Sus scrofa: one gene and its partners. The protein of the gene in region 1 purifies or fractionates together with the protein of each later gene. This does not show direct contact. Links are inferred from orthologs where the notes say so. Each region holds a gene or a part of one and is shown in the gene's direction. Other genes may lie near its edges.

The links.
Region 2: the proteins of PHLPP2 (region 1) and SLC9A3R1 purify together in Homo sapiens (co-immunoprecipitation; 3 studies listed by BioGRID and IntAct, with this or other methods). This does not show direct contact. The link is inferred for Sus scrofa from reciprocal best matches to the Homo sapiens genes PHLPP2 and NHERF1.
Region 3: the proteins of PHLPP2 (region 1) and WDR20 purify together in Homo sapiens (affinity purification with mass spectrometry; 4 studies listed by BioGRID and IntAct, with this or other methods). This does not show direct contact. The link is inferred for Sus scrofa from reciprocal best matches to the Homo sapiens genes PHLPP2 and WDR20.
Region 4: the proteins of PHLPP2 (region 1) and USP12 purify together in Homo sapiens (affinity purification with mass spectrometry; 3 studies listed by BioGRID and IntAct, with this or other methods). This does not show direct contact. The link is inferred for Sus scrofa from reciprocal best matches to the Homo sapiens genes PHLPP2 and USP12.
Region 5: the proteins of PHLPP2 (region 1) and SLC9A3R2 purify together in Homo sapiens (affinity purification with mass spectrometry; 3 studies listed by BioGRID and IntAct, with this or other methods). This does not show direct contact. The link is inferred for Sus scrofa from reciprocal best matches to the Homo sapiens genes PHLPP2 and NHERF2.
Region 6: the proteins of PHLPP2 (region 1) and USP46 purify together in Homo sapiens (affinity purification with mass spectrometry; 4 studies listed by BioGRID and IntAct, counting the BioPlex papers as one, with this or other methods). This does not show direct contact. The link is inferred for Sus scrofa from reciprocal best matches to the Homo sapiens genes PHLPP2 and USP46.
Region 7: the proteins of PHLPP2 (region 1) and WDR48 purify together in Homo sapiens (affinity purification with mass spectrometry; 5 studies listed by BioGRID and IntAct, with this or other methods). This does not show direct contact. The link is inferred for Sus scrofa from reciprocal best matches to the Homo sapiens genes PHLPP2 and WDR48.

Annotation. Positions count from the first base shown.
Region 1 is NC_010448.4:14,713,122-14,717,418, reverse strand, and holds the start of PHLPP2 (PH domain leucine-rich repeat-containing protein phosphatase 2), read left to right. Parts: upstream 1-1,497; 5' UTR 1,498-1,548; coding exon 1,549-1,647; intron 1,648-4,297. UniProt on the Homo sapiens protein: Protein phosphatase involved in regulation of Akt and PKC signaling.
Region 2 is NC_010454.4:6,480,740-6,484,825, reverse strand, and holds the start of SLC9A3R1 (Na(+)/H(+) exchange regulatory cofactor NHE-RF1), read left to right. Parts: upstream 1-1,286; 5' UTR 1,287-1,487; coding exon 1,488-1,949; intron 1,950-4,086. UniProt on the Homo sapiens protein: Scaffold protein that connects plasma membrane proteins with members of the ezrin/moesin/radixin family and thereby helps to link them to the actin cytoskeleton and to regulate their surface expression. Necessary for recycling of internalized ADRB2.
Region 3 is NW_018084979.1:976,986-981,202, forward strand, and holds the start of WDR20 (WD repeat-containing protein 20), read left to right. Parts: upstream 1-1,417; 5' UTR 1,418-1,483; coding exon 1,484-1,732; intron 1,733-4,217. UniProt on the Homo sapiens protein: Regulator of deubiquitinating complexes. Activates deubiquitinating activity of complexes containing USP12. Anchors at the base of the ubiquitin-contacting loop of USP12 and remotely modulates the catalytic center of the enzyme.
Region 4 is NC_010453.5:4,686,992-4,690,983, reverse strand, and holds the start of USP12 (ubiquitin carboxyl-terminal hydrolase 12), read left to right. Parts: upstream 1-1,192; 5' UTR 1,193-1,556; coding exon 1,557-1,604; intron 1,605-3,992. UniProt on the Homo sapiens protein: Deubiquitinating enzyme that plays various roles in the regulation of the immune response and inflammation.
Region 5 is NC_010445.4:39,950,025-39,954,004, reverse strand, and holds the start of SLC9A3R2 (Na(+)/H(+) exchange regulatory cofactor NHE-RF2), read left to right. Parts: upstream 1-1,180; 5' UTR 1,181-1,313; coding exon 1,314-1,526; intron 1,527-2,663; exon of another isoform or gene 2,664-2,847; coding exon of another isoform or gene 2,848-2,865; intron 2,866-3,795; coding exon 3,796-3,980.
Region 6 is NC_010450.4:39,579,191-39,583,459, reverse strand, and holds the start of USP46 (ubiquitin carboxyl-terminal hydrolase 46), read left to right. Parts: upstream 1-1,469; 5' UTR 1,470-1,825; coding exon 1,826-1,861; intron 1,862-2,260; exon of another isoform or gene 2,261-4,269. UniProt on the Homo sapiens protein: Deubiquitinating enzyme that plays a role in behavior, possibly by regulating GABA action. May act by mediating the deubiquitination of GAD1/GAD67.
Region 7 is NC_010455.5:23,763,066-23,766,565, forward strand, and holds part of WDR48 (WD repeat-containing protein 48), read left to right. Parts: intron 1-459; coding exon 460-562; intron 563-2,076; coding exon 2,077-2,174; intron 2,175-3,500. UniProt on the Homo sapiens protein: Regulator of deubiquitinating complexes, which acts as a strong activator of USP1, USP12 and USP46. Enhances the USP1-mediated deubiquitination of FANCD2; USP1 being almost inactive by itself.

The DNA of each region.
Region 1 (4,297 bases):
TGTCTTATTCAAATTTTGCCTTAGAGTTTAAAATATTCACACGGAGTTCCTGTCGTGGCTCAGCGGAAATTAATCTGACTAGCATCCATGAGGATGCAGGTTCAATCCCTGACCTTGCTCAGTGGGTTAAGGATCTGGTGTTGCCATGAGCTGTGATGTAGGTCCCAGGTGCGGCTCAGATCTGACATGGCTGTGGCTGTGGCGTAGACCAGTGGCTACAGCTTGGATTGGACCCCTAGCCTGAGAACTTCCATATGCCATGGGTGTGTCCCTAAAAATGCAAAAAAAAAAAAAAAAAAAAAAGAAAAAAAATTTACAAATAGATATCTCATATATGTAGACAGAGGGGCACAGACTGCACTGTTAGGTCTCAAACTCTCTTGTACTAAACATACATTTGGGTTAGACTAGGCAAGCTGAAGCAATGGATAATAGGCGATACCGTTTATACCAGTTATCCAAAGCGTAAGAAAATTTTTTTCTGCTGAATTCCTTACAAGTTGCTTGAAGATTCAACACGTCTGTAAGAGGGGAAGACCTAAAAATCCAGAGGTCTAGAAGATTTCCTAGGAAAATTTAGAGTTGGATTAACAAGGAGAGGACTCTGAGGAACTGAGTATATCTTAAATTTGGAAATTCATAATTGTAATGGTTACTACGAATCACTACTATGTGTTAAGTAAGCACATTGATGCATTTGCAAAGTCTGCAGAATAACTACTAGACAGATACCAATTTCTATTTCACAGCTAAGAACCAAAGGCTTAGATCAAATAAGAGGTAGCACTGATATTTGGAATGAGGCTGGCTGACTCCAAATTTGGCCCATTGGCCTGGTCACAAAACTATCACGGAAGGAACTGAAAGAAAAAATAAATTAAAAATTTCTAAATTAGCCTTGCAAATAATAAAATGGCTCATAGACCACATCGCTCCTTCAAACAGAGAACAGAATTCTAATAATTTTACTACGTGAGGAGAAAGGGAGGTGAGTTGACATTTTGTACACTGAGAATGTCATGAGCATCTCTGATAAGAGAAAGCACCTTGCTCAGGTGAGTGTTCTCAACAATCCGTTCAATGGCTTTGCAAGTGAGGGCGACAGGCCAGTTTTGGAGCACAGAGGAAACGTCTGGAAGAGCTAAGTTACAAGAACCACCCTCTGCGGAGAGCAGCGTCCTCCAGTCACTATTGACAGGTGCAGAGCTTCCCCTGCCCCTAGCCCTGCGGGTGCTTCGGAGGCGGGGACAGCAAGAAATAACACGCCTGTGCCTCAGGCCGCCAAACCTAGGGCGGCAGACGGCAGAAGCCCAGCCCTGCGGTGTTGCCTGGCTTCGCCGGCGGGGTCCGCGGGCAGGCGGCCCGCAGCGTCCGGGGGACGCACCGCGCCCGCAGCTACGCAGGGCCGGCCGGGCTGCGGGAGGGCGGGGCCCGGGGCGGGGCTGGCGGGCCGCGGGGGTGGGGCCGCTGGCTGCTCGCGCGCGCCGCCGAGGCTCCGCGCGGCGTCGCGCCGGCCGGGCGTCCCTGTGCAGCCTCAGCCAGCCGCCGATGGGGGAGGTGGAGCCGGGGCCCGCGGGCCCGCTCGAGCCCCCGGAGCCGCCCGAAGCGCCCGCGAGCCGCCGGCTGGGCGGGATCCGGGTCCTGAAGGTGAGACAGGCGGGCAGACGGGCTGGGGAGGGAGCAAGAACAGGGAGAGGCCGCCCCTGCCCCGCGCAGTGGCCGAAGCTGCCGGCGACCCCCGCCTCGCGTTGGTCCGTCCGCTTTGCTCTTTGGTTGCCCCGAGACCCAGCTGGAGGGGCCGCGGCACCGGCGGAGGCCTCTGCGCCTGGTCCCCGCCGAGGCCGCGGCCGCCTCCGTCCCCGCCGCTGCCCATCCCTGGCCGCGCGCCACCCGCCTCGCAGGCCCATGCCTTGGGGCCGGCGTCCACCCGGTCGCCGCCGCCCACCCGGCTCCTTCGAGACCCGGGGGCCCGCTTCTGCCTCTCTCGGCCGCGCCGGCAGCCCCGGGGCCGGCGGCTCCTGGCCGGAGAGCGGAGCTGGAAGTACGCAGGGCTTTCTCCCCGGACACCTGAAGACATCACCCCAGCGGGAGGATGGCGGCGGTGATTGGCCGGGCGCTGCGGTGTGCTCGGAGCTGCGCCTGCTGGAGCGGGCCGACTCTGCCCTCGGAGCTTCACCACCAAAGTTAAGACCCGCTCCCCGCTCCGAAGCGCCGGCCTGGAAGCACGACCTGCCCGGCCTGGAGAGAGAATCCCCGGAGGAGCTTCATCTCGGGGAATCGCTGGGCGTGTTGCAGAGGGAGGAGGGGTTGGACAAAAAGGGGCATTCCTGCTGGCGGGAGCGGGGCTGACAAGCCAGGGAGACGGTAATGGGGAGCAGTTATGCAACAGGCAACTAACGGGGCTTTTTGGCAGGAATTGGGGGGAGTAGGAGGAATTGAAGGCAGATGCGGGAGGTGGGGAGTGGAGTCTCGAAGATGATGACAAGAAGTTAAAATGCACACGGAATGTAGGGCGGGGACGGTACCGTGAAGGTGGTTAAAAGCAGGGGTTGTGGGACACTCCCTGGATAGAGTTCTACTAGCCTTTGAAAGAGTTGGAGAGGAATTTTTCTGTAGGTCAAATATGTAAACTAGGTGTCCTTCTGGAGATGGAATGGAATTCCTTCTCGAGTTCTAGAAAAGGAATCAGAGGATTTAAAAGTTGCCAGAGAAAAAGGAAGAGAGCAAATAAAATTTAGATTGGACGTGTTTCAGAAATACTTTGCGGAACAACGAAAATACTTAGTTACAGTAGTTGCTCTTCAGTCTTGAGGGTGAGTGCTGTATACTTGTTATTAGATTATTCCTAGGACATCACAAAGATGGCAACACTGGGGAAAAAAAAGATTTGGAGCATCTGATAAAAACATGAAACTACATGAAATAGAACTCTGTAAAATGTAAAACATTTTTTTTTTTTTTTTTTTGCTGCTACTACCTCCCACTCTTAATGCAGTGACTTAGAGAAATAACTTCATAGTTTATCTTCACTTCTGCATAGGCCTTGTATATACTTATTATAAAATACTTAATCATGTTTTAAATGTAATTACTCAAAGACTTGGATATTTACTTAAAACTATAAAGTCACAAAAATGTATATTGTGAATGAACTTCAAAAAATGATCTTCTGGCCTGCTTATCAGGAAAGGGCAGGTCTGAGAGATAGGTAATGCCCTCTGGCCTAGAAGGTAAACAACCTTGGCTATTTTTACAACTTTTTTTTTTTGATGGAGAGGGAGTGAGTTGTGGGAGGGAAGGAATTGAGAAATAAGGATCTTTCCTGAAGGGTCCGACTTTCCAACCACTTCCAAGAAGTGGTCCTACCCCTCGTTTAGTGGGGTTCCAGTCTGGGCAACATTAGAAAGATTGCAGGGGTTCCCTGGGGGCTGCCCCAGGTCAAAGATCTAGTTGGTCACTGCTGTGGATCGGGTTGGATTCCTAACCTGGGAACTTATGCATGCCATGGGTGTGGCCAAAAAAAGAAAGAAAGATTCCAGAAGTTAATCTTGATCATGGTGCTGAGCTGGTGGTATGGGAAACAGACAGTGTCTAAGACCCTTGTGTCCTTTACAAATAAATAAGATCAGCTGTGAAGAACAGGTGTTCTACAATTACAAATTCTCTTCAATAGCAGAGCGGTTGAATTTTGTGCCAGGTGAAACTGGAAAGGAATGTATAAGTAGAAGTATTTCTGAATTGGGAAGAAAGTCATAGTGTCGCCTACATATTCTTCTGTGAAAACACTTTGAAAAAAGACTTATCATTGTTTTTCGTAACTCTTTTACACTTAATACCAAATTACGGACATCATATTGTCAAGAGTGTAGGCCTTCATGAAAAGGCTAAAATGACTAAGCCAGTGCAACTTAGCTAGGTTAGGTCTACATTCACTCTAAGGAGTATTGGAAAATTTGATTCAGCATTTACCTCTAGATTTATTTAGCACTATACTCCTTTATAATTGTAGTTAGAATGTGAGTATGATATTTTTAGTACTCTCTTATTGGGAGTGTCTTTGAAGCAGAAATTTCCAGATGTTTGCTACAATTTGGGGATTTTTTTTTTTTTTTAATTCAGTCTGTAGAAGAAACAAAGTTATAACTAGTCTAGTCAGTGAATGCCAAGAGATCTGTTTTTTCAATAATAGTTTCAGGTTTTTATCAAAATAATGTGTGTATATAGTTTTTACAGTCAATCCAAAACGATCTTAGGGAACTGAAGTATTCTTCCTCATCTCATCCACCCCTCCCAAAAT
Region 2 (4,086 bases), on another chromosome or scaffold:
AGGGGCAGGGGAGCGGGGTGAGAAAGGTATGCGCTGCACATTTCTCAGGCTACTGCGTTTGCTTTCAAGGCAGAAATCTTGCTCTCTGAGCAGAGTCAGCAGCTCTGATGGGCCTGACAGGCCGATAAGGAAGCTCTCCGAGGCCTCTCCCAGGCAGAGCAGGGAGGAGCCTGACCTTGCAGGGGATCTTCTGGGGCACAAGGCAGGTCGCAGACAATCCAATCACCTAGGCTGCTCCGGGCCTTTAGCATTTGTGTATTCCAGAATTAAACTACAGTATTTTGGAAAGTACACCCTGTCCGCTGCTTTCTGCGGTGCACATAATGTGTGTGTGGGGGAGGGGGCGCGGAGATCATGCTGAAAGCATTGTTGTTGCTTATCACTGACTGCCAAAATCATTTGATCCTCATCCTTCAATGTCCCCAGCTGGTCACCTCACCCTTAACAGACCCAGCCTCTCATCTGAAAGAAAGAATTGAAAGGTCTCCCTTTCAGTCCTCATCATTTTTCTTTCTCGGATGAAAAAAGCCAAGACTCCTTTTCCTGTGGACTGCACCCCGAAATTGGTTACCTGTGTTCTGCCTCTCCCCGCCCCCACCTCCCTAGGCAAAGGCTGACGCCAATGCCACACCATTGCCCTAGGTGTCCTGTTTTCGACAGGCAGCTCTCTCCTCTCTGCTGAGCCCTCACATTGTCCCCGCGAGGATCCAGCAGGTCCTGGGACAGCGCACAGTGACCCTGCAAACGGGAAAATACCATTATTCAAACCACTCTGTCGGGTCCGAGGTGGACCTAGGTCTTATTCGTGGGGTCTCCGGACGGGAGCGGGTGTTCCTGGCAACAGTTGCCCCTACTCCCACCTCCAACGGCAGCTGCACATTTTAGCTAAAGTCTGTCCAAACGTTAGTCTCCTTTACCCACGGGGTGGCTCTGCTCAACCCCCGACACAGGTGGGAGGAAATCAGAGCAGATCCTGCAGGCCGCTCTGCCCAGTACAGGAACTCGCTCCCGCCTCCTTGTGCCCCCGCCTCCCCGCTCGCGCCTCAACTCCAGCCACTTGGTAACAAACACTTCCACTTCCTGAGCTCTCTTTCTTCTCCCGCCGCGGGGCGTCTCACAGAGCGCAGAGTCCCGCCCCTGCGCACTCCCATTGGCCGGTGTTGTTCACCCGGCCAGAGCGGCCCCAGTTCGTGGCCTCTGATTGGCCCTCGGTGGTCCACACCCTCTGCGCGGCCCCGCCCCCGAAATAAGGGGCCGGGTCGGGTTCTGGAACTCTCAGACGCCGCGCGGGGCGGGGATTGGTCTGAACGTTGCGAACTCTGCTCCCAGCATTTCGCCGCCCCGGCTCCCGGGACACCTGCTCTCTCTCAGGTCCCGCGGCGCCAGGTTTCCCCTCCGCTGTCGTTCTCGCCACCCCCGCCCGCAGGGTAGGGAAAAGGGTTGGACCATCCCGTCTCCGAACTCTGCTTCGCGCCGCTGAAGGCGAGATGAGCGCGGACTCGGCGGCCGGGGCACCCTTGCCCCGGCTCTGCTGCCTGGAGAAGGGTCCGAACGGCTACGGCTTCCACTTGCACGGGGAAAAGGGCAAGGTAGGCCAGTTCATCCGGCTGGTGGAGCCCGGCTCGCCGGCCGAAAAGTCGGGACTGCTGGCCGGGGACCGGCTAGTGGAGGTGAACGGCGAGAACGTGGAGAAGGAGACCCACCAGCAGGTGGTGAGCCGCATCCGGGCCGCACTTAACGCCGTGCGACTGCTGGTGGTCGACCCCGAGACCGACGAGCGGCTGCAGAAGTTGGGCGTCCAGGTCCGGGAGGAGATGCTACGCGCCCAAGAAGGGCCCGGGCAGGCCGAGCCGCCGGCCGCCACCGAGGCGCAGGGGGCTGACAGCGAAAATGAGCCGCCGGCCGCCACTCCGGAGCCGCACGAGGCGGAGAAGAGCCGTCAGGAGCCAGTAAGCGTGGGCCCGGGCCGGGAGGCGAGGCTGGAACCGAATGGGAGGGGGAAGAGTGGGGAGACCCAGGCGCCCCGGACGCCCGGCCCTGCTCCCGCCTTGTCTTTCTGAAACTCGATCCTCAAGGGGGAGACTGCTTCCGCCCGCGGATCGGGCGAATTGGCAGTTGCAGGCTTGAGGCTGCGACTCACGACCCCTACTCCTCTCCCCAGACTGGGCTGGGACCCCGAGCGTCTTGGCCACTTGCACCTCTTGTCCCTTGGCCTGTGGGAGTAGGAGTCAGAGAGGGCGGCGCAAGGGAGCCCAGTCCCCTTTTCCGCACTCTGTTGGTGGCGTCTGCTCCCGTCCCTTGGGACCCCCAGTCCCACCTCAGGCCCGCCGGACTGACCAGCTGCCTTCGCCGCCCCTGAGGGTGGTGAATGAAGCTGGGCTGAAGTGAGAGCAGCCCTGACTTCCAAGAACTAAAGGAATAACTACCCCCTCTCCGTGTGGCGCCCCGATGGGAGGAGAGGGGTTACCGACTGCGTTCTCCTGTCACTTCCCCCATTCCCCATAGCCCGCTGGCGCGTGGATCATTAACTGCAGCCTGGCTGGACTTCATCCTCCTCCTAGAGTCTGGTGTGACTTCTAAAAAGGAGACGCTCCACCACCGCAGATGATGTGTGGGGGTGGGGTGCGTGCGGGGAGGAGGTGCAGAGGCGTCTGGTGGGAGTGGGTGGCGGCTCTGTCACCCAGGAGGATTTATGATTCTCAGGAATGTGAGGAGTAAGCGCTGGCTTGTATCTGGGAGCAGGAGGGAAGACCTTGGAGGAGGAGAAATGGCTGGGGGAAGGGGGGGGAGTGGTCCAGGGTCATTGGACCGTAATAGCAGCCAGCATGTCACCACAGGCAGGTGCCCTTGCCCTGGCATCAGCTGTGTTACTCCAGTCCCCAGACAGCAAGCAAGCTGGTTGTTTTTTTGCCCATGTTTGGTGTTTAATGAGTCCAGTTTGGATTAGTTGCAGGGGTTGGGGGCAGAGGGAAAACAGGACTTGCCCTGATCCTCCTGTCCCCTGAGAGTGACGGGGAAGGCCTCGCGGCAAAACTGGGGAGCAGGGCCTGGACCTCCCCAGGGCCCATTTGGCTTGTACCAGCTCTCCACCTGCTGGCGGGGGTGTCCCTGGTGCCAGTACAAGCCTCCCTTGACAGAGAAAGGGCACAGTTCAGCCTTTAAGGTAGAAGGTGGAGCCTGAGAAAACCAACTGGTTTGGTGGAAGTGAGGTCACCTGGAGCCCTGTCCGGACAACACTGGGTGCCAGGGCCGCCAGGCTCCTACTTCCTGCCACTGCCCAGCTGGCATCGGCAAGGGTTGGGGCAGGGTCAGAGCACCCCTGGTGGGGTTTGACACCAGGGAACTGGAACTCACGACCTCTGGTCCCAGGCAGAAATCCAGTTTGAACTTTGTGCTGAGTGCATCAATTTGCCATTCCGTTTTTTTGTTTTCTTTTTTTTTTTTTTTTGGACTTTGGCACTTTCACAAGCAACCCGCCCCCCCCAGGTTGCGGTCATGTTCGGCTCCTCCCAGTGCCCTTTTGGTTTCGCTGCTGGGTGCGGGAGGGCCTGCGGGGAGGTAGAGGACAAAGAGCTAGAATAGAGGCCTGGCCTAGCACGTGCACCCCCCATCAGGCCTTCTGGAAAGGCAGCTCTCTGGGTGAGCACAGAATCAGATTCCCTGCATTTGTGTGTGTGCTCTGTGGGGCCCCTAGAAGGGAGTGAGACCCCCAGCCAGTCCCCAGCGACATCGTCACCAGGCCTCTTGGGGTTTCAGGTCACCAAGCAAGTCAGAACTTCTCTGTGCCATGGTTCTCCCATCTATAGAATGGGGGTGTTGGTTTCCAGTGTCACCTGCCTTCTCTAGAATTTTCCAAATAATGGGAAGTACTTGAGCCCCTAGTGGGTGCTGGACAGAGCTCCTTTTACGCCCAAGCGTTTGAATCCCAGCTCTGAGTGAGTGAGCTGGGGGTCCCTCAGCCTCTGCAGAGCTGCTCAGCAGCGTTGATCCCTCTGGTAGGAAGTTCCTGGCGTGGGAGCATGCAGGTGACCCACCCTGCCTTTGAAAAAAAAAATGTATTAATAGACATCAAACATTGTTCCTCAA
Region 3 (4,217 bases), on another chromosome or scaffold:
AATACATTCCGGCATTTTATAAGACTGCTGATACCTGTTTGACTTTTAGCAGAAGCCAGACAACATGAAAACAACTGTAACAAAACATCTGAGGCATTTTAGGTCTCATTAAGGGGAGGTGACTCTAGTGTTCTGACAACATGGACAGAGGACACAGGGCGTTGGTGTCAAATGCATTATTACATCACTGGTACAGTTGCCACTGGCACCTGCTTGCTTTGCAAGACAGGATGTTTATGATTTAGACGCCTCTTACCTGCGAACTTACCCCCCTCCACTTCTTCTGTGATCCTCCAGGTGTGATGTGAACACAAAGGGATGGATCACTCTTCGTGTAACAAATGCTGGCTCCCCCACCCACACCCCCACATTCTATCATTAATGTTTCTGTCACTTTAGGAACTTTCTCATTCCAGGGCAACATGCCAAGAAGCCTGGGCACAAAAGGGTGATTGTTTAATCTGCAACACGTGTGCCTGTCCTTACATGTCTAGACCGAGTACAGAACAGCCACACAACTACGCCTGGCAAACAATTTCGCAGATTCCGCTTAAGCCTTAAAAAAAAAATCAACAGCCTCCAATTTTTCTAAGAGCTCCTGATAAACTATTGAGTAAGAGAAGTTGAATTCTGCTTAATTTAGATCCTAGTTCCCAAAGCCATTTCCCTCCTCCTTTCTCTAAACACCTGGTGGAGACAAACTTAAAACAGACGTGCCATCACTACCTGCTTTCCTTAAATTAGCCAAGGCTCACCCCAGAGAGGTATTCAGATATTTGACTTGCTAACAACACAGGTGCTGGGCAGGTACACTCCCTTCCCCGCCGCCTCGCCTGAAAAAACGAATGATGAAGCGGAAAACAGGGTCTTCGGTACCTTCTCGGAAACGAACTCAGGATGCACAGGTGCAGAGGGGCTTCCTGACCCAGGCGTCCGGACGGTCCAGCCGGGGGGCCGAGGGGAGGCCCCAGAAGAAGGGGGCTCTCCCGCACCCTCGCGTGGGTAGAACACGGGGGCTTCCGAGCTCTGTTCACGGTACCCCATGTGCCGACCCCGACTTGGGCGGCGGCCGAGGCGGCGCTCTCCTCCGCCCCTGGGGGTCCCAGGACTGCAAGTCAGGACCGGGGCAGCTGAGCAGCCCACGCGAGCTCACGTCAGCGCCTCCCGCAGGCCAGCTCGGGGGCGGCGGGGGCGGTGGAACGGCCGGCCCGCCCCCAGACCCCCAACCGCAGCCCCGCCCCGAGGCCGCGCCCGGGGGCGGAGCCTGCGCACGCCCAGCCGCGTGGAGCGCGCCAGGTGAGCACGCCTGCGCAGTCGGGCCGTAAACAAGCCCGTCCCCTTCTCCTCGCCGGCCTCCGCGGGGCCGGCTCGCAGGTGGGAGGGGCCAGGAGAAAGGGGCGGGGGGAGCGCGGGAGCCCGAGACGGCGCCTGCGCGGTGGGCGTGATCCGGGCACTTAGGGCAGGATGAACGCTGCTTTCCAAGATGGCGACGGAGGGAGGAGGGAAGGAGATGAACGAGATTAAGACCCAATTCACCACCCGGGAAGGTCTGTACAAGCTGCTGCCGCACTCGGAGTACAGCCGGCCCAACCGGGTGCCCTTCAGCTCGCAGGGATCCAACCCTGTCCGCGTCTCCTTCGTAAACCTCAACGACCAGTCTGGCAACGGCGACCGCCTCTGCTTCAATGTGGGCCGGGAGCTCTACTTCTATATCTACAAGGGGGTCCGCAAGGTACCGACCCGGGCGTCACCGGGGCTCGCCAGCGGCGTGGGCCGAGGCCGGGAGCAGGGCGGTGACAGCGGGGCCAGGGTGACCGGGGGGGTGGCCGTCGCTCTTACTTTTGAGTGGGCCGGTAACTCCACTGGAGTGCGCCTGAGGAAGGGGCTTCGGGAGTGAGGAGGGCGGCGGCGGGGTGTCGGACGGGTGGGGGCGGTGGAAAGGGACCGCGGGGCGCGGGGTTCCGGCCGGGAGGCCTCAGAAGGCGCCGGCTGCCTCCCCTCCGGCAGGGTCTGTCCGTCTCTGACACGGCCAGGGAGCGGGCCTGCGGGTCCCCGGAAGAGGTGGGGTGGCCGTCTAGTCTGTTGAGACCGCCTCGCCTCCTGGGAGGGCTGAGAGTCTCGCTCCGGGTTAGGGAACCGGGGCGCGGGGCGGCCTGGGAAGACCTGTAAGGCGGAACCGGGGCTGGGAAGCGGAGCACTTGAGATAGGTCAGAAAGGACCTGCTCGGCACGAAGGGCTACTCCACCTGCTGCCGCACTGACACTTCCTGGGAGCCCCTCCTTCTGATGGTAACACTGTGTCCAGAAACATCCGTGGGAAGACAGCTGTCACTGCTTCCGCGGAGGGAACCTTCTCCTGAGAGGGTGTCACAGGGTCGTGTCCCTTAGAGCATGGGACAGGCTGAGTGCTAGAGTTAGGTGGCAACGACGTTTGCGGTGAACTACGCTGGTTCGCAGGGGTTCTGTGCGAGCGTGCCCAGATCAGTCTTGTCCAACAAGTCAGGCTGTGTCCCAAACAGGGAGGGCTCTGCCTTAAAAGCTGCTTTACTAGAACCATTCTTCTTGGCGGGCGTTTTAACAGTAATTCTGTCAAGCATGTAATCATCCTTTAAACATGTCTCTTCAAAAGGGGCAACTTATTAGAGCTTTTCTTTCCCTGGCTACATAACTTCGTTCTCATTGACAGCTGCTTCCTTTTGAGATGTGCGGTCTTTGAGTTGACTCTTAGAAGAGTGAGGAAATTAGTGTACCTCCCAGCACCTGGGCGTGGGAAACAGTGATAATCGATTGACTGATACATGTTCGATTAGTGTGAGAGTAAATTGTGTATATTGAAGGGTGAACTTGTTGGGGATTTAGTTTTTGCTGGATTCCAAGAGCTAGGGCTGTGACCGTGGTATCTAGATGTATGTAACACGTTGTCTCATTTGTTCTGGGTGAATCTTTTTGGTAGTGTTTATGGTAAGTGTACGGCTGCGTTTGAGGTATCTTGTTGTTGCAGATTACTGAAAGTAAATTGCGGCTTTATTTTTTCTCCTTCGGAATTGGAGAAGTGAAGTAGTTAGTAGTCAAGGAGCTGAAGTTTTAGTCCTACTCTCAACTCTGTCACTGACTTGTTGGGTGACCTTGGACGAGTTATTTAACCTCTATCTGCAGCTCTTTCAAAAGTGAATATTGCAGTACACACCTTGTGATTTATGGTGTAATGATTGTGATGAACTTTAAAGCCCCGCAACACTCAGTGGTTGTAAAGTATGGTTAAAATAAGCATGAAAAGCAACTGTCAAACAGGAGCTCCTGTCTTGACATTGCTACGAGAACTGAAAAGATCAGCTTTTTCTCTGGAAATAAGTTTAAAATTTTAAGTTACTAAAATTGAATTACATAAAATTTAAAAGTACATAAAACCTAAATATGTGAACAATTAATTAGTGGTAGCAGTTACCTTTTTAAATAAAAGTTTTCTTGGAGTTCCTGTCGTGGCACAGTGGTAAACGAATCTGACTAGGAACCATGAGGTGGCGGGTTCGATCCCTGGCCTCGCTCAGTGGGTTAAGGATCCGGCGTTGCTATGAGCTGTGGTGTGGGTCGCAGACACGGCTCGGATCCCGAGTTGCTGTGGCTGTGGCTACAGCTCTGATTCAGCCACTAGCGTGGGAACCTCCCTATGCCGAGGGTGCGGCCCTATAAAGAGAAAAACTGTTTTTTCATTTTCCATGAATGCGTTTGCGTTTATTTTTTGTTATTTCTGACTGTATGTGATTGTTTTTGTGATTCTATTTTCTGATTTTTTTTTTTTTTTTTGGGTCTTTTTGCCTTTTCTAGGGCTGCTCCCGCCGCATATGGAGGTTCCCAGGCGAGGGGTCGAATCAGAGCTATAGCTGCCGGCCTACACCACAGCCACAGCAATGTGGGATCCGAGCCACATCTGCAACCTACACCACAGCTCACGGCAACACCAGATCCTTAACCCACTGAGCAAGGCCAGGGATCGAACCCACAACCTTGTGGTTCCTAGTTGGATTCGTTAACCACTGTGCCACGATGGGAACAACTATTTTCTGATTTTAAAATAGAGCAGATAATTTTCATTAGTCAAAACCCCAAATTTGGGAATCCTGCTGTGCAGCAGAAACAAATCCGACCGGTATCCATGAGGTTGTGAGTTCGATCCCTGGCCTTGCTGTCAGCTGTGGTGTAGGTTGCAGATGCAGCTGA
Region 4 (3,992 bases), on another chromosome or scaffold:
GAGGCAGGTGCCTAGAGAAGTGGGCCAGCTACGCTGGGACTTGGGTATATTCTATTTGCAATCGCCCCCTCCCCAAGCAAGCTTATAGTGGAAATCACTGTGGAAACAGCATTCATGTGCCAGAAATCTATTCTTCATCTAAATTTTGTTTGAATGTTTTGTTTTTTGAATGTCTTAAACCTGCAAGTTAAGGCATATCTGATTTTAGAGATCTGTCTGAATTTCTGCCCCAGTGAAACCGAGGAACCCCAAAAAGCCCCTCGCCACGAGTTCTCCAACAGTGAAAAATCACAAGCTTTCTAATATAATAATTGGTAAAGCTATGCTACTAACTTGAACTTCTTTCGCAAATAGGAATAAATAAAGCCTAGCTGTCTGGCACAAAGAACAGGGTGCAATGATGCATTTTATAAAAACGGCACATAGGAACTATCCCCCTGACTAACACCATCTCTCTTTCTCACAGGACATTGTTCTCAACTTGCGGGACTTCTCGTCTCTGGGAACATCATCAGCGCGGGGTTGACATCCTCCCTATTTTGCGACTCAACTTTTGGAACCAGTATATTTAGATACTATATTTATAACCATATTCTAAATTTATGGCCGACAAGCAGACAGGAAAAGCAGCTTTGCCCCCTTCCCCATAATTGACCTTTCTTAATTCAAAGAACTAAGCGTATATAGTTTCTTCTTTGCCGCTTTCATTTTTATGTAATGAACTTGTCTTCTGCTACATTTCGGTATTTTGACCTAGGTGATCCACCCAATGTGCGTAAAAAGAAACAAACCACCTTACATTCTAGCTGTTTGGGACTCTCTATGACCTTCGCTATTTTGACCGTTTACGAGCACGTTTCCTCCCGCCGCACCCAGAATTTTGAGACCGCCCCTTCAGTTTTCTGTCTGGACAGGGCCCTCGGTAGAGGCTGCGGGGCAGCCCCTTGCACGACGGCCGCCGAGGGCCCTCATCGCCCCCGGCGCCCCTCTCCCCGCGCACCCGCTCTAGGACCCGGAGGACGCGGGCGGGAGGCAGGGCCCGCGCGAGCCCCTCCCCGGCCGCGCGCGGGGTGGAGCCGACGCCGGAGCTCCCCGACTCGCGCGCGCTCGGCGGCTGGAGAGGCTTCCTCGGGGAGTGGGCGGGGCCGGAGGGGGAGTGGGCGGGGCGCGCGGCGGTGGGCGGGGCGCGCCGCGGGGCCGCGCAGCTGCCGGGCAGGCCGGGCATTAGGGCCTCAGCGGAGCCCGCTCCCCAGCGCGCTGGGCGGGGTGTGCGGCGGGCGGCTTCGCGGGCAGGCGCGGGCCCCGAGGCAGCGGCTGCGCCCTGCGCCGGGGAGGAGCCGGGGGCGGGCGGGCGGCAGGCGGGGGCTAGGGCCCGCGGCGGGGAGTGCCGGCGGCGGCGGCGGCGGCGGCGACGGCAGCGGCGGCTGAGCAGGCTCGGTGCGTGCGTCGGCGGCGGCTCGGGGTCCGCCCGCGGGCTGCGGTGCGAGCGGGCGGCCAGGCTCTCCTCCTCCCCCGCCCGCCGCCGCTGTGATTGGGTGGAAGATGGCGCTGGGCGGATGGAAATCCTAATGACAGTCTCCAAATTCGCCTCCATCTGTACCATGGTAGGTGCGGCGGGGGGGCGGCGGGCGGCCCGGGACCCCGCCGGCGGCCCTGGTCCCCGCCCCTCGCCGCCCGCGGGGCCTAGCGCGGAGCCGCAGCCGGGCGGGGGCGGCGCGGGCCGGGCGGGGGCGGTTGGACGGCCGGACGCGAGCGGAGCGGCCCCGGGGGACGGCGGCGCGCGGGTGGCCGGCGGGGTGGGCGCCGGTCGTCGGCGCCTGGGGCTCGGCCCCCGGTCCCCGCGGCGCCGGGGCGGAGCGGCGAGGCACCCGGGCTGTGGGCGCGCGAGCGGGGCCGCGGGCCCGGCCGGGGTCGGAGGGGAAGGACGCGAGGAGCGCCCGCCTTTCCGTCCGGCGGGGCCGGGCCGGGCCGGGCCGGGCCGGGCCGGGCGGGGAGGGTCCCCGGCGGGCGTGGGGGCTGCGGCAGGAAGGCAGGGTCTCCTCCCCGGCCCGGAGGGGACGGAAGTCGGGCGCAGGTTTCCTCTCCGCGCCGCGGGCGAGGCCGAGCCCCCCGCCGGTGCCGAGGGAAGGGGTGTGTGTGAAGGTGGAAACTTTAAATAAGTGCTGGTGAAATTCCCCCCCCTTTTCTACCCTTCCTGAGAGGAACGAGCTCCCATTTGCAACCCTGAGCCCAGGTGGCGGTCTTGTCGTGGGGAATCCACGTAAACCTTGGAAACGGCTTCAGCATTCCTGTCATTTGTTTACTTTAATGCCCCAGACGCATCCGTGTGTGGCTGGAAGTATTTCTTTGCAGGAGCTGACGGCGAGGGTTGCTGTGTGTGTTTCACCGGAGCTCTGAAATCCACTTTAAGGGGAAAGTGCTAATGCCTGTTGAAAAGTCCCGAGTTAAGCAAAACCTGGGTGCGTTTCAATCCGGTGCTCGGTGCTCGAGCAGAAGGACCAGCTTTCCACACGGTGGGGCAGATTGGTTTCATTAGCTCCTTAGGACTTAGATCTAGCGCTCTTAATTATGAGTCATCACAGAAAAGTTATCCTTTGCAACGCGGGCCCAGTGATTATGTTATCAAAGACTTCTGATATCTTTCCTTCTTTTTTACGTCTTACCAACCCTTTTCAACGCTTATAGCAGGTTCCCCAAACAATCTTCCGTTTAAAATTAGGGGTGGGACCTTGCACATACCTTTAAGAAGTGCTGAATGGTGAATCAGATAGGAGAGAGGCTTTAGAAGCAGATTCTATACAGCACGCCGAGGAACCGTATAAAAAATGGCTGAAATCAGGTGGGATTAAAGTCTACAGTATTAAATCACACTGAAGGATGAATCATTGAAGAACCCGTTTCCTCAAACGGATGTTTGTTTTTCTCTCACAAGTCACATTTTAGGAAAGCCTTGATATTAAAGGGACGATGTTAGAGGGATTTCGGGGGGTCATGTACATTAATTATTTTTAGGTAGGCCAATTATTATCTTATTCTGCTTCAAAAAGAATGTGATAATTACATCTTGGAAAGCGATAATGTTGCCGGATTGCTGAGCTGCACAGATTGTCAGGTCATGGTTCACTGTCAAAGTCTAGTTTCTGGAGTGATGTGTTACCCTTTGCTGCCTGTTCATCCCCGTTTAGCACCTGCCAAGTGCTAGAGGGTATGCAGAGCGCTGGGGAGACAGCAGTGGTCCAGCCAGTCTCTGCTTTCCTGGTGTTGACATCCTAGTTAAGGAAGACAAACTGTATTCACATAACCATATTAATATATACTCTAATCAGATTCAGAAAATGAGGCGCAGAGGGATTTGCCACGTCAAATACGGAGTAAGTGGGATTATGATCTCAAGAATTGTAGACTCCAAAACTCTTTCTAGGGCTTTCGCTCGGGGTGCGTTAGTTGCATGTGGTGTGTGGGTATTGTTGGCAGATACAGAAACATCGGTGCCCAGCCAAATGAGATTGCTCCAGAAGTAGTGTTCAGATTGGGTGTGTCTGTGTTCTCACTAGAAGAAATTCTGATGCGCTCCCAAGATAGTGTTGAACATCTCAAAGTAACCTGCAGTTTATTCTTCAAGAGAACCGCCGTCTGTCGTCTGAGAATGACAAGATTGATAATCAAGAAAAGCAGAGATACTTACCTCTGCGCTTGTACAGATGTCTGGCAAGTTCATGGCTGTCTCTCGAGCGGGTAGCCTTGAAGCATCAGAGGCCTGTCCGTCCGTCCCCCCCCCTCCCCGTCTAATTTCACAGCCTTTCTGTAATCTCAGCAGCGCTTACCACACTTGCTGTGTTGTACATTTTTCTCTTATCTCCTTATTAGGTTGCGGAGGCCCTAAGTGGAAGGTCTCTCGTTTATTTCTGCGGTTTGGTGGAGCACTAACTCCTGTGTGCAGGACAGCGTTCCTGGGTCCTTGGTTTCTGCTCCCCGATGTCTGGGGGAAGTGA
Region 5 (3,980 bases), on another chromosome or scaffold:
CCAGGGGAGAGAGGGCCTGGAAGGTCTGACATACCTCCGCTCTCTCTGGGCCAGGGCCAGCGGCCAGACCTCTGATCTCCTGCCACCTGACCGCCTTCCTGGCTGCTGCCGGCCTCACCACTCACCTCCCCTCGCTCATTCCCAGCCACCCAAAAGCTTCCAGCCCTGACACCTTGCATGCGTGCTCCCGGCTTTGCCACCTTGCCTTCTCCTCCCACACCCCTGCCCGTGGAGCTGAGGGAGGAGGCCTGGGAGGCTTTGCCCCGAGAGCTGCTGGGCCACCTTTCTTCAGCTCTGTTACTCAGGCCCTCTGTTTTCCGTCCCCCTCACTCCTTCTCTTCCCACTCTGGAACTGCCACCCGCAGGTCTCAGCTGGCCCCTGCTGTTACCCACTTCCTTGCTCCCCGCCCCCCTCGTTCCTTGGATGTTCTGTTACTCTAGACGGAGAGCCTCTCTCGGTACTCCTTCGGCTCCTTTGGTGCTTTCGGGCCTCCTTTGTTATTCTGGGGTGTGGTGTTCCTGGCCCCTGGCTGTGACCATGTCACTTAGTTACCCGCCTTACAGCGGTGTTCTGTTCCTGGCCACCGGCACTCACGGGCTGAGTGCTGGGCTGCAGGAGGCAGGTCTACAGAAGGGGACGAGGTCACTAAGCTTCCTGAGCCAAGCGGCCAGGGGTACCTGCCTTCCCTACCCCTTGGTCTGGGGGTCTCCGGACCACCTCCGGCCACCACCCTCTCAACTCTGGTGTGGCCTCAAAGCTGTAGCCTGGCAGGTCCTGGGTGGTTCTGGCTGCTATGGGGTGATCCCTGAGCCCCATCTGGGGTGGTATGTGGCGGCTTCCACTCCACACCCACCCCCACAACCTGCAGGGGTGGCAGTACTAGGTGGGGTGCAGGGGGGCCAGTCACAGGCCACGAAGGCAGCCTCTGGACAGACAGAGGGAGGCGGCTGGCCCCAAGGAGGCTGACCGAAGGGGGGCGAGACAGAGAAGGACTGGGGGGGGTCCCTGGCCCTGCGGCCCCTCCTGGGGCCTCGCGGCGCGGGCGGAGCGCCGAGGCAGGGGGATGGCCGGGGTGGCTTGGACCCGGGGCGGGGGCGGCAGGGCAGAGGGGGCGGGGAAAGGGCGGGCGCGGGGGCGGCGCCGCAGCCAGATCCGGAGCCGGAGCCGGAGCCGACGGGAACCGAGCGGGAGCCGCCGAGGCCGCCGCAGGGTCTCCCGCGCCGCTCCCGCGCCCGCCCCAGCGCCCCCGCCTGCCCGCGGCGGGCGTGAGCGCCGTGGCCAGCCCGCGGCCGGCCGGTGGGCAGCAGGCGCCATGGCTGCCCCGGAGCCGCTGCGGCCGCGCCTGTGCCTCCTGGTGCGCGGCGAGCACGGCTACGGCTTCCACCTGCACGGCGAGAAGGGCCGCCGCGGGCAGTTCATTCGGCGCGTGGAGCCGGGTTCCCCGGCCGAGGCGGCCGCGCTGCGCGCCGGGGACCGCCTGGTCGAGGTCAACGGCGTCAACGTGGAGGGCGAGACGCACCACCAGGTGGGTGCCTGCGCCCCGCCGCCCCCCATCCCCGGAGCGCGTCCCTGCCCCGCGCGCGCGCGGACGGCGCCAGGGACCACCGGGCCGCCTGCGCCCGCGCCTCGGCTCCCCCGCCGGGGCCAGGAGGGGTCGCACAAGGGCCTACGTGGGCTCCCGGGGACAGGCGGGGGACGTGGCCACCGAGGCAGCGCCTCCTTCCTGGCCTCCCCCCGCCCCCGTCGGTTCCGCACCGCGGAGGTGGGGGGGATCCTGGCAGGGAGGGGCCCGCAATGCGGCGGCTCCTCCGGTTCTGGCCCTGGCTCTTGAGTCTTGTCCGGCCTCCGTACAGTCTGTGCAGGAGTTGGTGCCTCGGGGGTCTCCGTGTGCCTGGGGTCCCCGGCGCTTCTCTGTCAGTGGGGACACACGCGCGCGTGCACTATGGGTATGCGTGTGAATGTGCAGGTCCCTCTGGGGATCACCCTTGTGTGTACCGTGCGGGGTGTCGCGGTGAGGGCACACTTGTGTGTGTCTGCATCAGTTAAGTGTGTGTGTGTGTGTGTGCTGGACTGTGTGCACGTGAGTATACAGGTCTGCACTGCTTAGATGTGTGTGTGTGTGGTGGGGTGCCTGACCTGGGTTGTGTGTATCTGTCTTGGCCCGGGTGTCTGCCTGCTGGTGTACTAGTGTGTGTCCTGACGGTTGGTGTCTGGGTCCTGGTGGGCGTCGCTGCTGGTGGCAGCACATTCCTGTCCTAAGAAGCTGCTGGGCAGCCTGGTGGGGGGTGGGGGTGTGTGTGGGGGGCGTCACTGGCTGTACCCCCCGGCCTCCTGCAGCTGAGGGGAAAGGCCAGAGGGGGAGGTTCTCCTCAGGTTCTGATCCCTGGGGGGTGTCTGCCGCCCACTGACCTGGGATCACCTGGCTTGGGTCCTGTCCTCCTCCACCCCTTCTGCTCAGGATCCCCGCGTCCCCCAGCACCTGTCTATGTGGCCGGCCCTGGGGCCTGGAGATGTGTAAATTGGCTCTTGGCTGGGCTGGGAGCCGAACCGCTTCTCTTCTGGAGCTTTTGTCTGCCCATCTGTCTGCCGGCCTGTTCTTTACCCCGAGTGTTGGCAGGATGAGGCTCTTTGCTGCCGGGGGTGTGGGGGTCGGGGCCGAGGTCTGGGATTGACAGGCCAGGGGGCGGGCCCCGCGCAGCTGGCGCCTGGCCTCTGTTTGACATCAGCTGCCGTCTTCTCCAAGAGCGAGGCTCACCCCAGGCCTCCCTGGGTGTGGTCTCCAAGGACTTCACACGCGGGACCACGGGGAGACCTTCCCACTGCCCTGGGGGAGAGGAGGTACCATCATGGCTCCCGTTCTGCAGGCGAGCAAACCGACAGTTGCAGATACTGGGTGACTCACCTGGGTCCCACTGTCAGGCAGCATCGGGCTGCTGGGGTCCTGTGACGCTGAGGGTCACAGGGGGAGAGAGATACAGAGGGGGCCGGGGCAAAGGTGGGCCTGGCTCGGACCCTTTGCTCTGTTGCCATCTACTGAGAGGCTGGTGCGGGCCCTGTCTGTCGTCCGGGCCTTGGGGTGGGCGTGGGGGTGTTGCTCTTCCTACCCAGTGCCCAGTGGGCACTGCTTCTCCTGCGGGCACACACAGGCATGAAGGCTCCATGGCCGTGCACATGTTCTAGATGCTTCCCAGACACCTGCGTGAGCACGCCTGGCCCACAGGTGGACCTGCTCCTCCCTAGCTCTGCCTGCCGCGTCTGAGTCCCGCTTCCTGGGTTGCGTGCGGGCGCCTGAGGAGGTGTTTTGCCACAAGCACCTAGGTGTTCCCTCTGCAGGTCCAGCAGGAAGAGGCCCATGATCACGGTCTGAAAGAGAATGGAAGGCTTAGACGCAGGTTCTTCCACCGGGGGAGGCAGCCAGGCACAGACACACCGAGCCTGGGACCCAGGGAGACCCTTCCCCCCGCCCCCCCCCCGCAAACCCAGACGTGCAGACGGGGAAGCCGAGGCTTAGCCGAGCCCCGCGATTGTCCCTTCCCGGCCCCTCCCCAGAGAAGAGCCTGCGCCCAGGCGAGGCCCCCGCAGCCCCTGCAGCCCTTGGAGCCCGGCCCGCTTCGGCAGCCCCGGGAGAGGAGGGCGGGAGCCGCCGGAGCTGGGGGTGGGGGGAGGAGCTGCGGGCCTTGCGGTCCAGCCGCCCACCTGGCCCGGGAGGCTCAAGGCCTGCCCCCGGGGTGCTGCTATCCATGTGCTGCCTGGGGTGCTGGCCGTGACCGGCTCCCGCCTCCTGCCCGTCGCAGGTGGTGCAGCGGATCAAGGCTGTGGAGGGCCAGACGCGGCTGCTCGTTGTGGACAAGGAGACGGACGAGGAGCTCCGCAGGCGCCAGCTGACTTGCACCGAGGAGATGGCCCAGCGAGGGCTGCCGCCTGCCCTTGACCCCTGGGAGCCGAAGGCGGACTGGGCGCCCGCAGGCAGCCTCAGCGG
Region 6 (4,269 bases), on another chromosome or scaffold:
TTCTAGGGCCGCTCCCTTGGCATATGGAGGTCCCCAGGCCACAGGTGGAATCGGAGCCGCAGCTGCCGGCCTTTGCCAGAGCCACTGCAACTTGGGATCCAAACCACGTCTGCAATCTACACCACAGCTCACAGCAACGCCGAATCCTTAACCTACTGAGCGAGGCCAGGGATCGAACTGGCAACCTCATGGTTTCCAGTTGGATTCGTTAATCACTGAGCCATGACAGGAACTCCAGGGACTGATTCTTTAAATCCATGGAAATATACAGAGCCAAGAAGACCCCAAGAAAGCTTTAGTCGGCTGTTGTCTTTTTAGTCCCATCCCAGGTCCTAAGCATATTAGCAACCAACGGTTCTGAAATCTTACGTGTAGAACACTAAATAGATAATGGAAGACAGCGTGCTCTTTTCCCAGTATGGGACTCTTGGTTGGATAAAAGCTATTTTCAATTATATTAATTTTCCTCTAATTCGATTTGTCACAAAGTATATTGGTTTAAGAATTATCACCGGTTTCACTTGTACAACTTCTCCGATGAAAGCAGTAAATTGTAACCTTGTATGAGAACTGTTTCACACCTTCGGAAATTGGCTCCTCCACTTCACAGGAACCTATCTGCTAAGTGGTGTAGATTCGCTGCTTTGAGTCAGAAACCATGACCTTTTCTGCAGGAAATGCGTACACGCCCATACGATGACCCTTCTCTCAGGGGTTGGCTGCCCCTGAGAGAGGTATGCTTTCCTCAAAGGTGCGGAAAAGTTTGGTTTTCATGCTTTCCAGATTCAGATCTCTCCTCGGCCCTTTCCCAGTCCTTGCGGAGACCTCTCCTTTGTACCTGCTAATGTCACAAATTGCCCAGCGAGCCTTGTCTGGCCTCCGCCCAGACCCAGATTCCTGTCCCCTCCCGGCGCCCTCGACCAGGCAGCTAGCCCGCGGCTGGCCAGGGCTCTCGACCCCACCGTGTCCTGACCCCGTTTACTTCTTGGGTCCCCGCCGGTGCCATCTGGCCGGAGTCCCGGGGAGAAACGAAAAGTTGGACGTGGTCACCCCAGCACCTTGCCCCTTCCAATCTCCCAAACCTTAAAATCCCCTGGGCTGCGGAGGGCCGCGCCGCAGGCGACAAGTGAAGGCAAGAAAGCGGCCCCGCGTCCCCGGCGGCCTCTCTGCGGCGACGTGCCCGGCTTCCCCAGCCCGCGGGCGGCCCCTTCCGCCGGCCGACGCCCGACGCGGGCGCGGTCCCTGCCTCCCCGGCCACGCCGCGGCCCAGAGGAGAGGGAGGAGGCCGCCGGCGTTTCGGGGTCCGCCCGGGGTACCCGCAGCAGCGCGATCAAGGGCCTGGCTGCGTATTCCAGCCCATACAGAGCGAAGCAGGACCTTTTAAAAAAAGAAGAAAAAGGCCAAGCCGGGGGTGGCCGGGGTTGGGGGGGGCGGAAGAGGGAGGAGGAGCCGCGGGGACCGGAGCCGGGGACGGGCGCGCGGCGGGAGCGCTCGGGGCGCGGGCTGCACGCGGCGCTCGGGCCGCCCCTCCTCCCGGCGCCGCCGGCCGCGGCCCAGGCTGCTTCGCTCCGCCACTCCCCGCCCCTCCGCTCTCCCTCCCGCCTCCCGCCTTCCCCGCCCTCCCCGCCTCCTCTCCTCCCTCCCGGCCTCCCTCTCCCAGCCAAACTGAAAGCCGGAGCCCGGGCCGCCTCCCCGCCGCCGCCGCCGCCGCCGCCGCCGCCGCCGCCGCCGCCGCGCCCGGCCTCCCCGCGAGCGCTCCACCATGGCCGGCCCTGCTTTCACCTTATAAAGATGGCGGTGCGGGATCGCTGCAACCTTTAGACTAATGACTGTCCGAAACATCGCCTCCATCTGTAATATGGTGAGTGGCCGCCGCCGCCTCGGGGGTCGCGCCCTAGGCGCCGCAAAGCGAAGAAAGGGAAACCCGAGCCGCACGCCTGCCGGGCGGCCCGCGGGGGTGGGGGCGTGGGGGAGGCGGGGGCCTCGCGGCGCTGCCCCCGAAGTTCCGGGCCCCCGGGCGGGGCGGGCCGGTGGCGGCCCCGGGAGCGGGCGGGGGAGGGGCCGTCGGGCCACCCGCCCCCCTCTCGGACCCGGGACCCGGGAGCTTGCCCGCCGGTCCTCGGACCGCGCCGCTGCACCTCGGTCCTCGGGTTGCGGTGGAAGTGTCTTGGGGGAGGGGGCAGGCCGAACCCGGACGTCCCGGGGGACCGGGTTGGAAGAAAAGCTGGGGCGAGCGGGGGTGGGGGTGGGGGGCACCCATCCTGCCCTTGCGGTAGATAAAGCCCAGCCCGACTCCGTGACCGCCCTCATCTCGTTTTTTTTTTTGAGTTCACTCCTTAAACTGTATTTAAAAATTCACTTGGCAGAGGCCATCGCTGTATCTGGAGACATCTGAAATGCGATAAAGCTGTAAAAAGTGCAAAATGTGGTTAGGGAAGTGAACTTCTACCTGGCTTGGGAAAGCATGGCTATTTGTTTTGGAGGCCTCAGTTTCCCCACCTGTGAAAGGGGCACAAGGTTATATGGCAGTAACCCTTAGAGGCCCTAAGGATGGGGCTGACTGGGGGCGTGGAGGTCTCCAGGGTTATCCTGCCAGATGCTCTGCAGACCCAGCGCAGGCTGATGGGCCTGGACACAGCAAGGGGACTTCGCTGGGCTCCATCTGAGGATTGAGTCCACCGTCATGATGTGGAGATCACTTTAACTTGGGTTTCTCCCATTGCTTTCCCTTCCTTTGCAGTTTCTGCAGGAACAGCCAGAGCCCTTGGGTCACCAGGGTGCATCCTGCTGGTACCTCCACTTGTCAGAGCCTCAGAGAGCACAACCTGCACCCTGGCGTCAGGCATTGCCCTCCTGTGCGGGGTTTAGAGAGGGTGTACTTTGCCTCCACCCTCTAGGGGTACCACTCCCCTCCCCCCAGCTGGATGGAACACATGTTCTTTTAGTGCAGGGTTCGGGGGGAAACCTCCCTTGAAACACGCCACTAAAGGGAATCTGAGGAGGCTTGATTGAGAAGCCTGGGAGTAAGGTGATCTGGCTGCCCTTCCCCCCATCACCCAGCTTTTTAAATCTTCTGTCCCACATTCTATTGCAAGATTAACACATGGGAAAGGAGCATTAAGGAGCCATGTGTTAGCACAGGGGTGGCATCCAGACCCACTGGTGCTGGCTTCAGTTTTCAGCAGTGTTGATGGTGGCTGCCGCCCTCGTTGGCAGAGCACATGTGGGGCCTTCCCAGGGGGACAGCTGCAAAGGTATTGGTGCAGGACCCCTTGCATTTCCTCTCTCCCCTCCTTCTCCACTCATAGACAGGTCTCCCGCTCCTCCCTGTCGAGTGGCATGGATGTTGCTTGGTGCAGTGAAAAGGTGATGCCTTTCTTCTCGGTTTCTCTGTCTGCTAAGACCTGCTCCTGAGGGGAACCGTGAAACCAGAGCAGCTCTAATCCTCTGCTTGGTGCCTGCTGGGGTGGCCTTGGGCTTACAGGGCAGTGAAGCCATTGGTGTTGTTCCTATCCTGCTTTGTGTGTGGTGACACCTCTCTGGATTGAAGCCAGCTGGGAACTGGAGTGTCCCAAGACAAAGCCAGCCTCCAAGCTTTTTTATTTTATTTTATTTTTTTGTGCCCTCAGTGCAGCTGGGGCTTCTTGGCACACCTGAGCCGAATGTTACAACCCATTTCCAGTAGAACTTGGCCGGGGAGGCAAGCTGCAGGGAGAAGGTGAGAGGAAAGGGCCAGCACTGGGTCTGGAGAGTTGACACCTCACGCGGAGTCCCTAAAAAGGCCCCCAATTTAGGATCATCACCCAGGCGAGGTGAGGAACCCATAACTCAGAACTAGAAAGTTTTACGTTCCTATATAGACACCGTCTGGAGTAAGCGATGAAGAGTTTGGTCTCTAAATCAGACTTCCTGGGTTCAGTGTCCTGGTTCTGACACTAGCTTTTTGTCCTTGAACCAGTTGCTCTGTCTCTTTACTCTCCTTACCTATAAAAGGGGGAGGCTAAGGGTTCCTGGCTCATGGGACTGTTGTACTAAATGAGTTACTGAGCCTAGTAATGAGCCAGTGCCCATTGAGTGTCAGCTGATATCTACATCACCTTTCTCATTATTATGTCACCGTCAGTTGTCCAAAGGACAATGGAGATGATGTGTTTGTGGACCTGCTGGAAGCAGCCACTCATCGAAACAACCCACTTGTTCATGGATGCAAACCAGCCTGACTGTGGTGTAGATGGCCCAGTGGGAATCCTTAGCCCCGCCCCTTACAAA
Region 7 (3,500 bases), on another chromosome or scaffold:
TAGGGGATACGTAGAGAGAAGTCACAGAAGTACTATTAATTCATAAATCTTAATGGAAGAAGATTTAAGTTTTCTTGCTTACCAGACTTTATTGGTGATAATAACAGAGAAACTGTGTTTATTCCTGTTTATATGCAGGTCAAGTGGTCTTTCTCTGTACTTGTAAAAAAAAAGTTATATTTTTTTGTCTAAATTTTATTTTGCCAATTTGAGATCAACATAGCTTTACCTAAAAGAGTGCCCCCTGTTCTCTCCAAAAAGACAACATTCTCTTCTTAATATTTGTCGTATTTTTTTAATCATGGTAGTATCTAATTGTACTTTGTGACTAAGTATTTTTGGTTGATGTTGTTATTGTTGAGTTTTTTTCATCCATTTATTATCTTTCTTGCCGCTTTAAATGGATTGGCAATGCTTATAAAGCATAAGATAATTAAATCATAAATTTTGTTCCTTTAGACATTGAAGGGAATTCATAATTTTAGAGCCTCTGGAGATTATGACAATGACTGTACAAATCCTATAACACCCCTGTGTACACAGCCTGACCAGGTTATTAAAGGTAAGTAAGGATATTGGAAGGTATTGTACCTTTTACTGAGGTTGATTATAGTTACTAAGAGATTGACAAAATAAGGGAGATGACCTTCCTTTAAATGTAATTTTGATGTCAACCGAAGTTAATAGTAATTTTTTTTTTTTTTTTTTTGTCTTTTTAGGGCTGCACCGGTGACATATAGAGGTTCCCAGGCCAGGGGTCTAATCAGAGCTACAGCTGCCAGCCACAGCCACACCCACAGCAATGCCAGATCGGAACCACTTCTGTGACCTACACCACGGCTCATGGCAATGCCAGACCCCTAACCCACTGAGTGAGGCCATGGATCGAACCCAAAACCTCACGGTTCCTAGTGGATTCATCCCCTGCGTCATGATGGGAACTCCTAATTGGTTTAATAGAAGAAAAAGATTTTATTTATTTATTTATTTATCTTCTGTCTTTTTAGAGCCGCCCTTGTGGCATATGGAATTCCCAGGCTAGGGGTCTAATTGGAGCTACAGCTGCCGGCCTACACCACAGCCACGCCAAATCCAAGCCGAGTCTGTGACCTACACCACAGTTCATGGATCCTTAATCCACTGAGCAAGACCAGGAATCAAACCCACAACCTTATGGTTCCTAGTCGGATTCGTTTCCACTAAGCCATGACAGGAACTCCTAAAAAAGATATTTTTAAAATGCTTTTTAGTGACTTTAAAAATTGAGCTTTCTTCAATCTGACTAGTATCCATGAGGATGTAGGTTCCATCCCTGGCCTTGCTCAGTGGGTTAAGGATCCAGCATTGCCATGAGCTGTGGTGTAGGTTGCAGATGCAGCTGGGAGACATTGCTGTGGCTGTGGTGTAGGCCGGCAGCTGCAGCTCTGATTTGACCACTAGCCTGGGAACCTCCATATGCCATGGGTGCAGCCATAAAAAGCAAAAAAAAGAGAGAGCTTTCTTGAGTTAATCTTTTTGCCCAGTGTTAAAAGAATCATGGTCTTGGTAAAGCCAGCAGCCACTTTGTACAAGGTATAAGGTTTAATGTCTTTTGGCACAAGCCAGAAAGGGTACACACTCCAACTGGGAGTCGCAGCTCTCTCTTCAAGGTCAGAGTTTGGGGTTAGAGTATTGAATGGTGCGTTTATCTGTAGTTAGTCTGTGCTGTTACCTTTATTCGAGAGGCATAAAGCGAAGGAAGATGGGAAGCAAAAGTTAATGAGAGATGAAACTAATTCGGAGATTTCCATCATTTGGACTTTTCCCAGTGGGTAAAATATTATTAAGGGCTTTGCCTTTTCCAGTAGTAGCCCTTTGAAGTGAATGAAGAGTCTTCTCTAATGTGATATTAAAATCAGTCTTTCTTTGATTGGCCCTAAATTGCCTTAGATATAATTACATGGTCTTCTGATTTCCCTTCTCCTTTCTAGGGACGAGTATGATTTACATTCTGTTACGTGCCAGTTAACATTTTTGGCATACTATGAATTTAAATGTAGGATTGTTTTGCTAATTATGTGGATTTTTTTCCTTTAGGGGGTGCTAGCATTATTCAGTGTCACATTCTTAATGATAAGAGGCATATATTAACCAAAGATACCAATAATAATGTGGCGTATTGGGATGTATTGAAGGTAAGTATCTTCTTGTAATTAAATATAGCTTGTTGGATTATGTAGCTCTTTACTTTTTTATTATAGTCTGTGTATTTGTGTGTATGTTCATGTGTGTTTGTAAAATAACAGACAATACATAATAAGGATTTAATTGCAGCCTTAATTTGGAGTGGATACTTTCTTACGTGAAATTAGATAAGGCTATTTTTTATCTTTTTAAGTACCCAGAATTTGAATGGAACCATTTTCTGTTTAGTGTATTACAAACTGTGTTATGCTGCCTTCCCCTAGAATGAGTACATCGGGATTCTGAGTCCTTTATACTGTTAACATTTTGGGCCCAACAGCTCCTTGTTGCAGGTGGGAGGGAGGAGTAGGATCTGTCCTGTGCATATTAGGATGTTTAGGAACATCCCTTTGTTTCTACCCAGTAGATGCCAGTGACCACCTTCATCCTCATCCCCTACTTCAGCTGTGACAAACAGAAATGTCTCTAGATATTGCCAGTATTTAGGGGAGAAAGGAAGAAGAGGGATGCAAAATCACGCCAGGTTTAGAACTGCCAGAGTGCACCAAATACGTTTGGCCATTTCTCAGGATTTATAGTCATCACTGTGAGCACAGCTCCTACTTTGGGTCATCTTACAGTTACTCCTTAGACAATTGAAATGTATTAAGCTGTTCAACCACATTCTAAATAGCACTGAAGACGTTTTAGGCAGACTGAAGAGTTTGATTTTAGAATCCTGACAAATGTCCCTCTTTAGTGTTATTGGTATATTTGTTCAATAAATATTTCCTGTGTTGAATGAATATTGTGCAGAGAACTGTGTTGAGGGTCATAGATGACAGAAAAGTCAGAATATTCTATCTCATGATCCCTTCTGGTAGGGGGGACAAGAGTAGGGGAAGGTGAAAGTCTTATAGAGAAAGAATAAACCGAGTGCAGGATAGCTTGTGGGCAAGGGTGATTACTTAGAACTGGAGAAATTGGAAGAACTTCTTGGTGGAGGAAAATCATTTGAACAGGGCCTTAACGTATTCTAGCAAATTGATTATGGGAGGGCATTTTAGGAAGAGGGAATGAATGACAGAGGCACCGAAGAGGAATGTACATGCTTACTCAGGGCCAGGTGAGTAGGTTTGTGTAATTAGAGACCAGAGTGAGTATAAGGGAGTAGCAGGATATAAGGATGAAAGATGAGATTCAAGTCATTTCCCAAAAAATCATGAGTTTCAGCCCCAGACTTGGCCTTTCTTTAGTACTCCCCAAAGATTCTTTATCTTAGATGATTTTAGAGCAGGAAAACCCTCTGTTTAGAGCAGTAGTAGTATGTATAACAG